Linked DNA regions of Oryctolagus cuniculus. The protein of the gene in region 1 purifies or fractionates together with the protein of each later gene. This does not show direct contact. Links are inferred from orthologs where the notes say so. Each region holds a gene or a part of one and is shown in the gene's direction. Other genes may lie near its edges. The genes, in order: DDX21 and DKC1.

Region 1 (3,818 bases):
TTGAAAGACAAGCCCTGTGTATTTAAATGTTAGAATCTGGCCATGCTTGTGGTCACCTGTGTGCCTCATAGCCCCTTAGAACCATTCCATGTCCCTGGGGTTTAAAATGTTCAGTGACCATTTTTGCCTGGAGAAAATTAATTTTAATTGAGAGACAGGAATAGGAGGAAGGGCACCTGAGTAAAGATTAGGCCAAGCCTCCTTATCAGGATAGTGCTGTTGGGCTCATTTTTCAGAGAAGCTGCCATCTGACGACCTTTAACTTTAATCACTGATGATGTTCATGTTGTTACCTCAGCTGTGGGTTCTTGCACTTGCCTTTCTGTCTTAACGTCACTAGCTCCCTGCCCTCCAGTGTCCATTCCTCCTCCTCAATTAATTTGTTTATCACTGTGTAAAACAGTGCCTGGCACATAGAGGGTAGTAAATATCACCTGGGTGAGTGCCTGAGTTGGTTGGTTTATGCCGTTCTACTTGAGGATCTGTAGTGGTTTTGTGCTGTGTGTCCCACATCAGGCTCAAGACCACTCCAGAGTTTGAGCTCTAGGATTTAATGTAGTGCAGAGATGAGGATTACAGCTTTTAGAGTCAGACTGCCTGAGTTTACATCCAGGCTCTGCCTCTTCTTGGGTTTTTTGGTTTTGGTTGTTAATTACCTTCTAATACCCACCTCCAAAGGTTGTGAGAATTAAATCAGAATAATGCATATAAGGGTTTATGTGAGCCTCAGACACAGTAAAAGCACAGATAGTAGCTAACTGTCATCATCAGTATTGCTCCTTGATCAGATTGTTCTTTTACTAGAATGCTGTACTTGAAGGATTAGCAGCTCTGTGAAACTTGCCCCAGTTCAAGCAGGCTGCTTAGTGCATTTGGGCCCCTGGGATTGGTGTGGTCACAAGTTTTTCTCCTGAGTGTAATTATCAAGAACTATAGGATCCTTCTATGCAAGCTATTGCAATATGCAAAGTAGATGCTTTGAAAATATCAAAAAGGGTAGGATGCATTGAGCTTTCTGGTAATTAGGAAAACCAGTAATTAGGAAACCAGTACTGCATAATGCTTTGAATTCAGGTATCAATTTTTCCTTTACAGGTATTGGTTCTTGCACCTACAAGGGAGCTGGCAAATCAAGTAAGCAAAGACTTCAGTGATATCACAAAAAAACTGGCAGTAGCTTGTTTTTACGGTGGAACTCCGTATGGAAATCAAAGTAAGTAAATTCAAAAACAGGGGGAGGAAAATGCCTTAGATGCAGAGTAGATTCCCTTTTGACCTTTTGGCATTTTTTTCTTTAGCTGGTCTAGTTACAGATGATGCTTTGCTTTTGCCATTGTTTAAAGGTGGTCAAGAAACTGAGTCCTGTGGACAAATTATTTATTTTGATTTCTCAAGACCTTGGATCTCTGCCTATTTCTGTATCCTTGCTTTTTTCTTGATGCGGTTAAGGTTGCTTTTCTTGGGGGTGCTAGGGCTTATTGTTGCACCCTCTGCTCCATGATTTCATTGTTTTTCTGTTGAAGACCTTGACTGAACCCCTTGACGGCAGTAGCAGCTCAGGAGATACACTAGTGTACCATCTCTTCTTGGTTAAAACTGAACAGCTCCTTTTACGAATCTCTGTATAGTCTTGCAAGTTTGCACTTCTGTCTGTCTCACCTCGTAGAAAGTTCCTGTTTTTTTTAAGATTCTTTTTTTTTTTTTTTTTTTTTTTTTTTTTTTTTTTTTTTTTGACAGGCAGAGTGGACAGTGAGAGAGAGAGAAAGGTCTTCCTTTTGCCTTTGGTTCACCCTTCAATGGCCGCCGCGGCCGGTGCGCCGCACTGATCCGATGGCAGGAGCCAGGTACTTCTCCTGGTCTCCCATGGGGTGCAGGGCCCAAGCACTTGGGCCATCCTCCACTGCACTCCCTGGCCACAGCAGAGAGCTGGCCTGGAAGAGGGGCAACCGGGACAGAATCTGGCTCCCCGACCGGGACTAGAACCCGGTGTGCCGGAGGATTAGCCTAGTGAGCCGCGGTGCTGGCACTAAGATTCTTAATTCTCATTGTGTCTTGATAATTTCTGCAGCCAAGGAAGTCATTTCTTTCCAGTTGCTTTTGTGGACATGTGTTATGCCACTTAATACACTAGACTGTGACTTCTTACATGATTTCTCTACTAGATGGAATGCTTTGATGGTCTTCATCTTCATTACTTAGCATGTTATATTTAATTGTGTAGACTGATAAAAGGACTTCTAAAAATCCAGTAAATTTTATCATTGATGTTCTTTATAGTTGAACGCATGCGGAATGGGATTGATATCCTGGTTGGGACACCAGGTCGAATCAAAGACCATCTAGAGAATGGCAAGCTCGATCTCTCCAAACTTAAGCATGTTGTTCTTGATGAAGTTGACCAGATGTTGGATATGGGTTTTGCTGATCAAGTGGAAGACATTTTAAAAGTGGCATACAAGAAAGGTAAACCCCAAATTCAAGAAACCGATATAAAAGAGACCAAAGGAAGATGATGAAATAGTCATCTAAGAGATTAAAAAAAAAAGGCAAAGCCTTGGAAAATTGAAAGAGGACTTACTAATTCCACATAGATTTGCTTCATGAAGTAATTGGCCATGATTTAATTCTATTTTCTGTTTATTGTCACTTTCATAATTCTTGTAGTCATGTTTATGCAGATAGCTTTCCTCACACCTCATCAATATCTGAAGTTGGTTATTTTGGCTAGATTTCCATAAGTGGAATTAAGTTGTAAATAGCTCTTGCAACTCAGTGTACATTATTCTTCAGAAGGGTTGTACCAGCTTACCCTGCCATTTGAAATGTGAGACTATGATGCAACTTTGTGTGCAAACAAAAAATAGTAGTTGACCACAAAGAACAAATAAGGTATAGTTTCAAACATCAGGCAGTATAGAGATGAGTTCAGACACAGTTCTGGTGTGTCTGAGAGGGTGTTTGTCTGGTGATCTGTATTAACTGGTTGCTGGGCTTCTTGAATTGCTGTTGTCCACTTGGTTGTTCTCACTGTATTGGACGGATTTCCTTGGTGTTTCATTAAGGCCAGGGTTCAGAAAGCAAAGTAAGTTAAAGTACTTTCACCATTGCATAAATGATTGAAGCATTATTTCTGTGTCCATTGGAAAACGTGTTACCTGTGTCTTCAGTATGAGGCTTGCTAATGATTGTTGGGAACCCTGGAAGAACTGAGTGAAGTGGAATTCTGTGTAGGTTTGTTTTGATTATTCATACTGATTTTTTTTCCCCCCAAAGATTCTGAAGACAACCCCCAAACATTGCTTTTTTCTGCAACATGCCCTCATTGGGTATTTAATGTTGCTAAGAAATACATGAAAGCTACATATGAACAGGTGGACCTGATTGGTAAAAAGACTCAGAAAACAGCAATAACTGTGGAGGTAAATGATTCATTTAGTTGCCGGAATTAGTGTGAAATTGTATATCATTTGTTTCATGTCTGAGGGTAATTAGGACTGGCAAACACAAATGCTTTCCATGTAAAGGGCCCAGTGAAGACATTCTACTCAAGTTGTGTGTGTTTTCTAAATTTTGTCTGATAGAACATAAATCTGTTTGAATTATGTAAACAGATTAAACCTAGAATTTGTGGACATTACAGGGCAGCAAAGACATGTAATACTTTGTCTTGAAGCTGTCTTCCTCCTAGGGTCCGGTACCTAGATGAATTCATTTTACCCAAGGAACAGACCTGGACAGTAGCTGACTGCGGGTTGCACTTTTCAGTGGATGAGAGGGCAAAGCATTCAGAAACTTTGCTCTTGTCAGTTACTTGGTTT
Region 2 (3,818 bases), on another chromosome or scaffold:
GCTTTGTATGTGGGATGGTAAAGAATGATATTTGCTTGTATGCTTTAATATACTTGGGTGTCTGCTTAGCCAGATATTTCTGTCATTTAGCCAGCATATGCTTTTCTATTGTAGACCCTAGGGATCTGCTACTAAACAGGGTAGCCAAGCTCCTTGCTCTCATGAAACTTAAAATCCAGGGGTGGAAGATAGGTAAAAGAGGGTTTGTTTTTTATGAAACTAAACTGGTGATGAAAGTTGGGCTTGATCATCATTTTGGCTACTTTTGTCCCTCAGAAAATCAAAACTGTTGCATGTTTTATTCATAATCTTGCAGTGAAGCCAGTCTTCTTCATAGAGAATAATGAGTTCAACTTACCAATATTCTAGTTAGTGTGATTCTTACTAATTTGGGTGGTGTATAAGGAGCAGAACAGTTTCACAGCAGATACTGGAAATACAGTAGCAAAAATGCAAATTCAGGAATGTGAAATGTTAGCATATCATGGTTGATGATGGTGCTGGCTGTTACATGTGTAAATGGTTTATCATTAACACTATTTTGTATTGTATTGCTGCTTTCTAGAATTTTGACAAACTAAATGTCAGGACAACACATTATACACCTCTTCCTTGTGGCTCAAATCCTCTGAAGAGGGAGATTGGGGACTATATTAGGTAAGTGTGTTGGGAGCAAGCACTGTTGATAGAAACCTACAGTGGCTTTGTCTTGAATGTATAACCTGTTCGCGTGGTGAATTTTTTTAACTCTTCAGGTTTGTTGTTTTATTGCAGCATGAGAGCAAATGGTACATTAATTTTCTGTCCATTCTAGGACAGGTTTCATTAATCTTGACAAGCCCTCCAACCCCTCTTCCCATGAGGTGGTAGCCTGGATCCGACGAATCCTTCGGGTGGAGAAGACAGGACATAGCGGTACTCTGGATCCCAAGGTGACTGGCTGTTTAATCGTGTGCATAGAACGAGCCACTCGCTTGGTGAAATCACAGCAGAGTGCAGGTATGTGAAGACAGAAGGCAGGTTTACCTCCACATTTTGCCTCTTGGAAATTTTCTTCATTAAGGGGAAAAAACCTACCCTGAAGCATGGATATGCTTTTTGTTTCTGTGTACCTTCTGTCCTCTGCCAGATCTTGGTGGGTCTACATTTGGAGTTCATAGAGGCATGTGTTGATAAATTCCGTTCATGCCACTGAGGCAGAATTCTTTCCGAGTCCAACTCTTGTCTTGTTCCAGGTTCCTTTCACGTTATGTTTCTGTGAAATCTGCACCAAGACACTGAATAATGTTGAGCTCCCAATGTCGTCGTTCCATTCCTTTCCTTTCTTTTCAAAATGTCTGCTTTTCCTGCTGTGCAAGATGGCAGCTATGGAGCATATAACAAATACAGAAAACTGAGTGGCCACACCTGACTACTCTTTTGTCATTTTTCAGGCAAAGAGTATGTGGGAATTGTTCGGCTGCACAATGCTATTGAAGGGGGTACCCAGCTTTCTAGGGTAAGTCTCTCACTTTAGGGAAGGGAAGTTGGGTCTCAGCCCTTGAAGCCTTTGGAAACAGCCACCTTTCGTGGCTGACCATGCTCCTGCCCTTTTCAATGGGCTACCCCATCCAGCCACATCCCTTCTGAGGAGCTGCTTCCCATCAGCCCTGAGCCGTCCCAGGGGTTGAAGAACGAAGCAGAAATGGAAAGAAATGGCTTTTTAGTTATTTTGAAGAAAACCTTTTATGTTTTGTATCCTTAAGCTCCCCAAATATGCCCTCTCATCTTATTTAAGAGGCCATGTAGGGAGAGTGCTTGTTTCTATTTGTGCTTATTCTCAGGCCCTAGAAACTCTGACGGGTGCCCTCTTCCAGCGACCCCCACTTATTGCTGCAGTGAAGAGGCAGCTCCGAGTGAGGACCATCTATGAGAGCAAAATGATCGAATATGATCCGGAAAGAAGATTAGGTGGGTTGTTGGGTCTTTGAGGAACTGAGTTATCACAGGCCGCATTGGGTAGGAACTCATTCTGGAAGGTTCTACGGTAATCTTTGAAAATACTATGTGGTGAGGTCATATCATCTCTAGGCTTGATGACTTAGAAGCAGACTAACTCTGGAAAATACTCTGTATTGTGTTTATGTCTTAGGCATATTTTGGGTGAGTTGCGAGGCTGGCACCTACATTCGGACACTGTGTGTGCACCTTGGTTTGTTATTGGGAGTTGGCGGTCAGATGCAAGAACTTCGAAGAGTTCGTTCTGGAGTCATGAGTGAAAAGGTGTGTCTTCATGGAGCTAGAAGTTTTAGAGCTGGTTCTGGGTATCTTGCAGCCCCTGGTGGAACTCTGCCTACTTCACACCCTGGGAAAGGCCACTTCCAAAGTGTTGAGTTCAGTTCAGGGCATCTTCCCTGTTCTGTTAATTAAACTTTGGTACACTAAAAGGGGTTTGGAGATAGAACTGGATAGAAAGTATCACTATTCGTTTATCTCCCAGCCTACAGCAGTGCTTTCATAAAGTGAATCTATAAACAGTTACAGGTGTCCAGAAGGGAGGTGAGTATGAAGACGCTCAGGGTTCTTCATGAGCTTGCACTAGTGGAAGAGATGCATGGTATATGAGTGTCACAAGTGGTATCTTAATTATGTGGCCAAATGCCCGCTGCTGTTTGTGGACCTGTGAACTGTTGGAGATCTGAAGACACTGAGTTTTTTCCTATGTACCTGCTTTTCAGGACCACATGGTGACAATGCACGATGTGCTTGATGCTCAGTGGCTGTATGACAACCATAAGGACGAAAGCTACCTGCGCCGAGTTGTTTACCCTTTGGAAAAGCTGCTGACATCTCATAAACGGCTGGTTATGAAAGACAGTGCAGTAAGTTCTGCGATGGGAATGCGCATTTGAACAGAAACTGACTCCAAAGATAGGATATGGTCTTTTCTTCTTGGAAACTCTATGTGCCTAAGAAACCTTGACTGACTTAAATTGTTCTAAGACAAAGTTAGTTTAATGGGGAAAAGTTGAGATTAGAGAGATTCAGAGCTGTAACAAAGTTATTTATCCTGTAGAAGTTTGAATAAAATATTTTGTTAGTGTAAATAAAACATAGTTTGAGGCTGTGAAAGCGAAACTTCACTGAGGTTATCAACCTCTTTTTTTTTTTTTTTTTTTAAAGATTATTTTCACTCAGGTGGCTGTAATAGCCAGAGCTGAGGCAGATTAAGGCCAGCAGCCAGGACCTTCCTGCAAGTCTCCCATGAGTGCAGGGCCCCAAGCACTGAGGCCATCCTTCACTGCTTTGCCAGGTGCATTAGCAGGGATCTAAATGGGAAGTGGAGCAGCTGGGACTTGAAGCAGCGCCCATAAGAGATGTAGATGTTGTAGGCAGTGACTTTACCCACTATACTACAGTGCCAGCCCTACAAGTCCTTTTCTTAACATATTCACTAACTTGCCTTTTACTTGAGAGTATTCCTATTAGCAATGCAAGTAAATATTTTTCAGTTGGGGTTTCTTTTGTAGTGGTCATTTTAAGAATAAGTTTCTTACTTTCCAAGTAGTCCAGAATTTGTTAAGTATGATCAAAGAATGTAGTTTATAAATTTTGTTAAAGACTAGGCAGGCATGAAAATTCTCTAAGGAGAGAGTAGAATATGGGTAGCAAGAGATCTAGATGAGTGAAGATGGTATAGCATAAGGCAGATAGATTCCAAAGTGCTGTTGAACTGAAGAGGTGGGCTTCTACCCATTGGCCTATAAGTTTCATGTCTAAACCTTTGTGTGATAGAGAGGAGCAATTAAGGAAAGCTAAGACTGATGTGTGTGTGTGTG

The links.
Region 2: the proteins of DDX21 (region 1) and DKC1 purify together in Homo sapiens (co-immunoprecipitation; 3 studies listed by BioGRID and IntAct, with this or other methods). This does not show direct contact. The link is inferred for Oryctolagus cuniculus from reciprocal best matches to the Homo sapiens genes DDX21 and DKC1.

The regions. Positions count from the first base shown.
Region 1 is NC_091446.1:60,756,498-60,760,315, forward strand, and holds part of DDX21 (nucleolar RNA helicase 2), read left to right. Parts: intron 1-1,095; coding exon 1,096-1,213; intron 1,214-2,277; coding exon 2,278-2,463; intron 2,464-3,273; coding exon 3,274-3,419; intron 3,420-3,818.
Region 2 is NC_091453.1:133,384,395-133,388,212, forward strand, and holds part of DKC1 (H/ACA ribonucleoprotein complex subunit DKC1), read left to right. Parts: intron 1-565; coding exon 566-657; intron 658-814; coding exon 815-999; intron 1,000-1,433; coding exon 1,434-1,498; intron 1,499-1,823; coding exon 1,824-1,950; intron 1,951-2,131; coding exon 2,132-2,262; intron 2,263-2,358; exon of another isoform or gene 2,359-2,488; intron 2,489-2,717; coding exon 2,718-2,861; intron 2,862-3,818.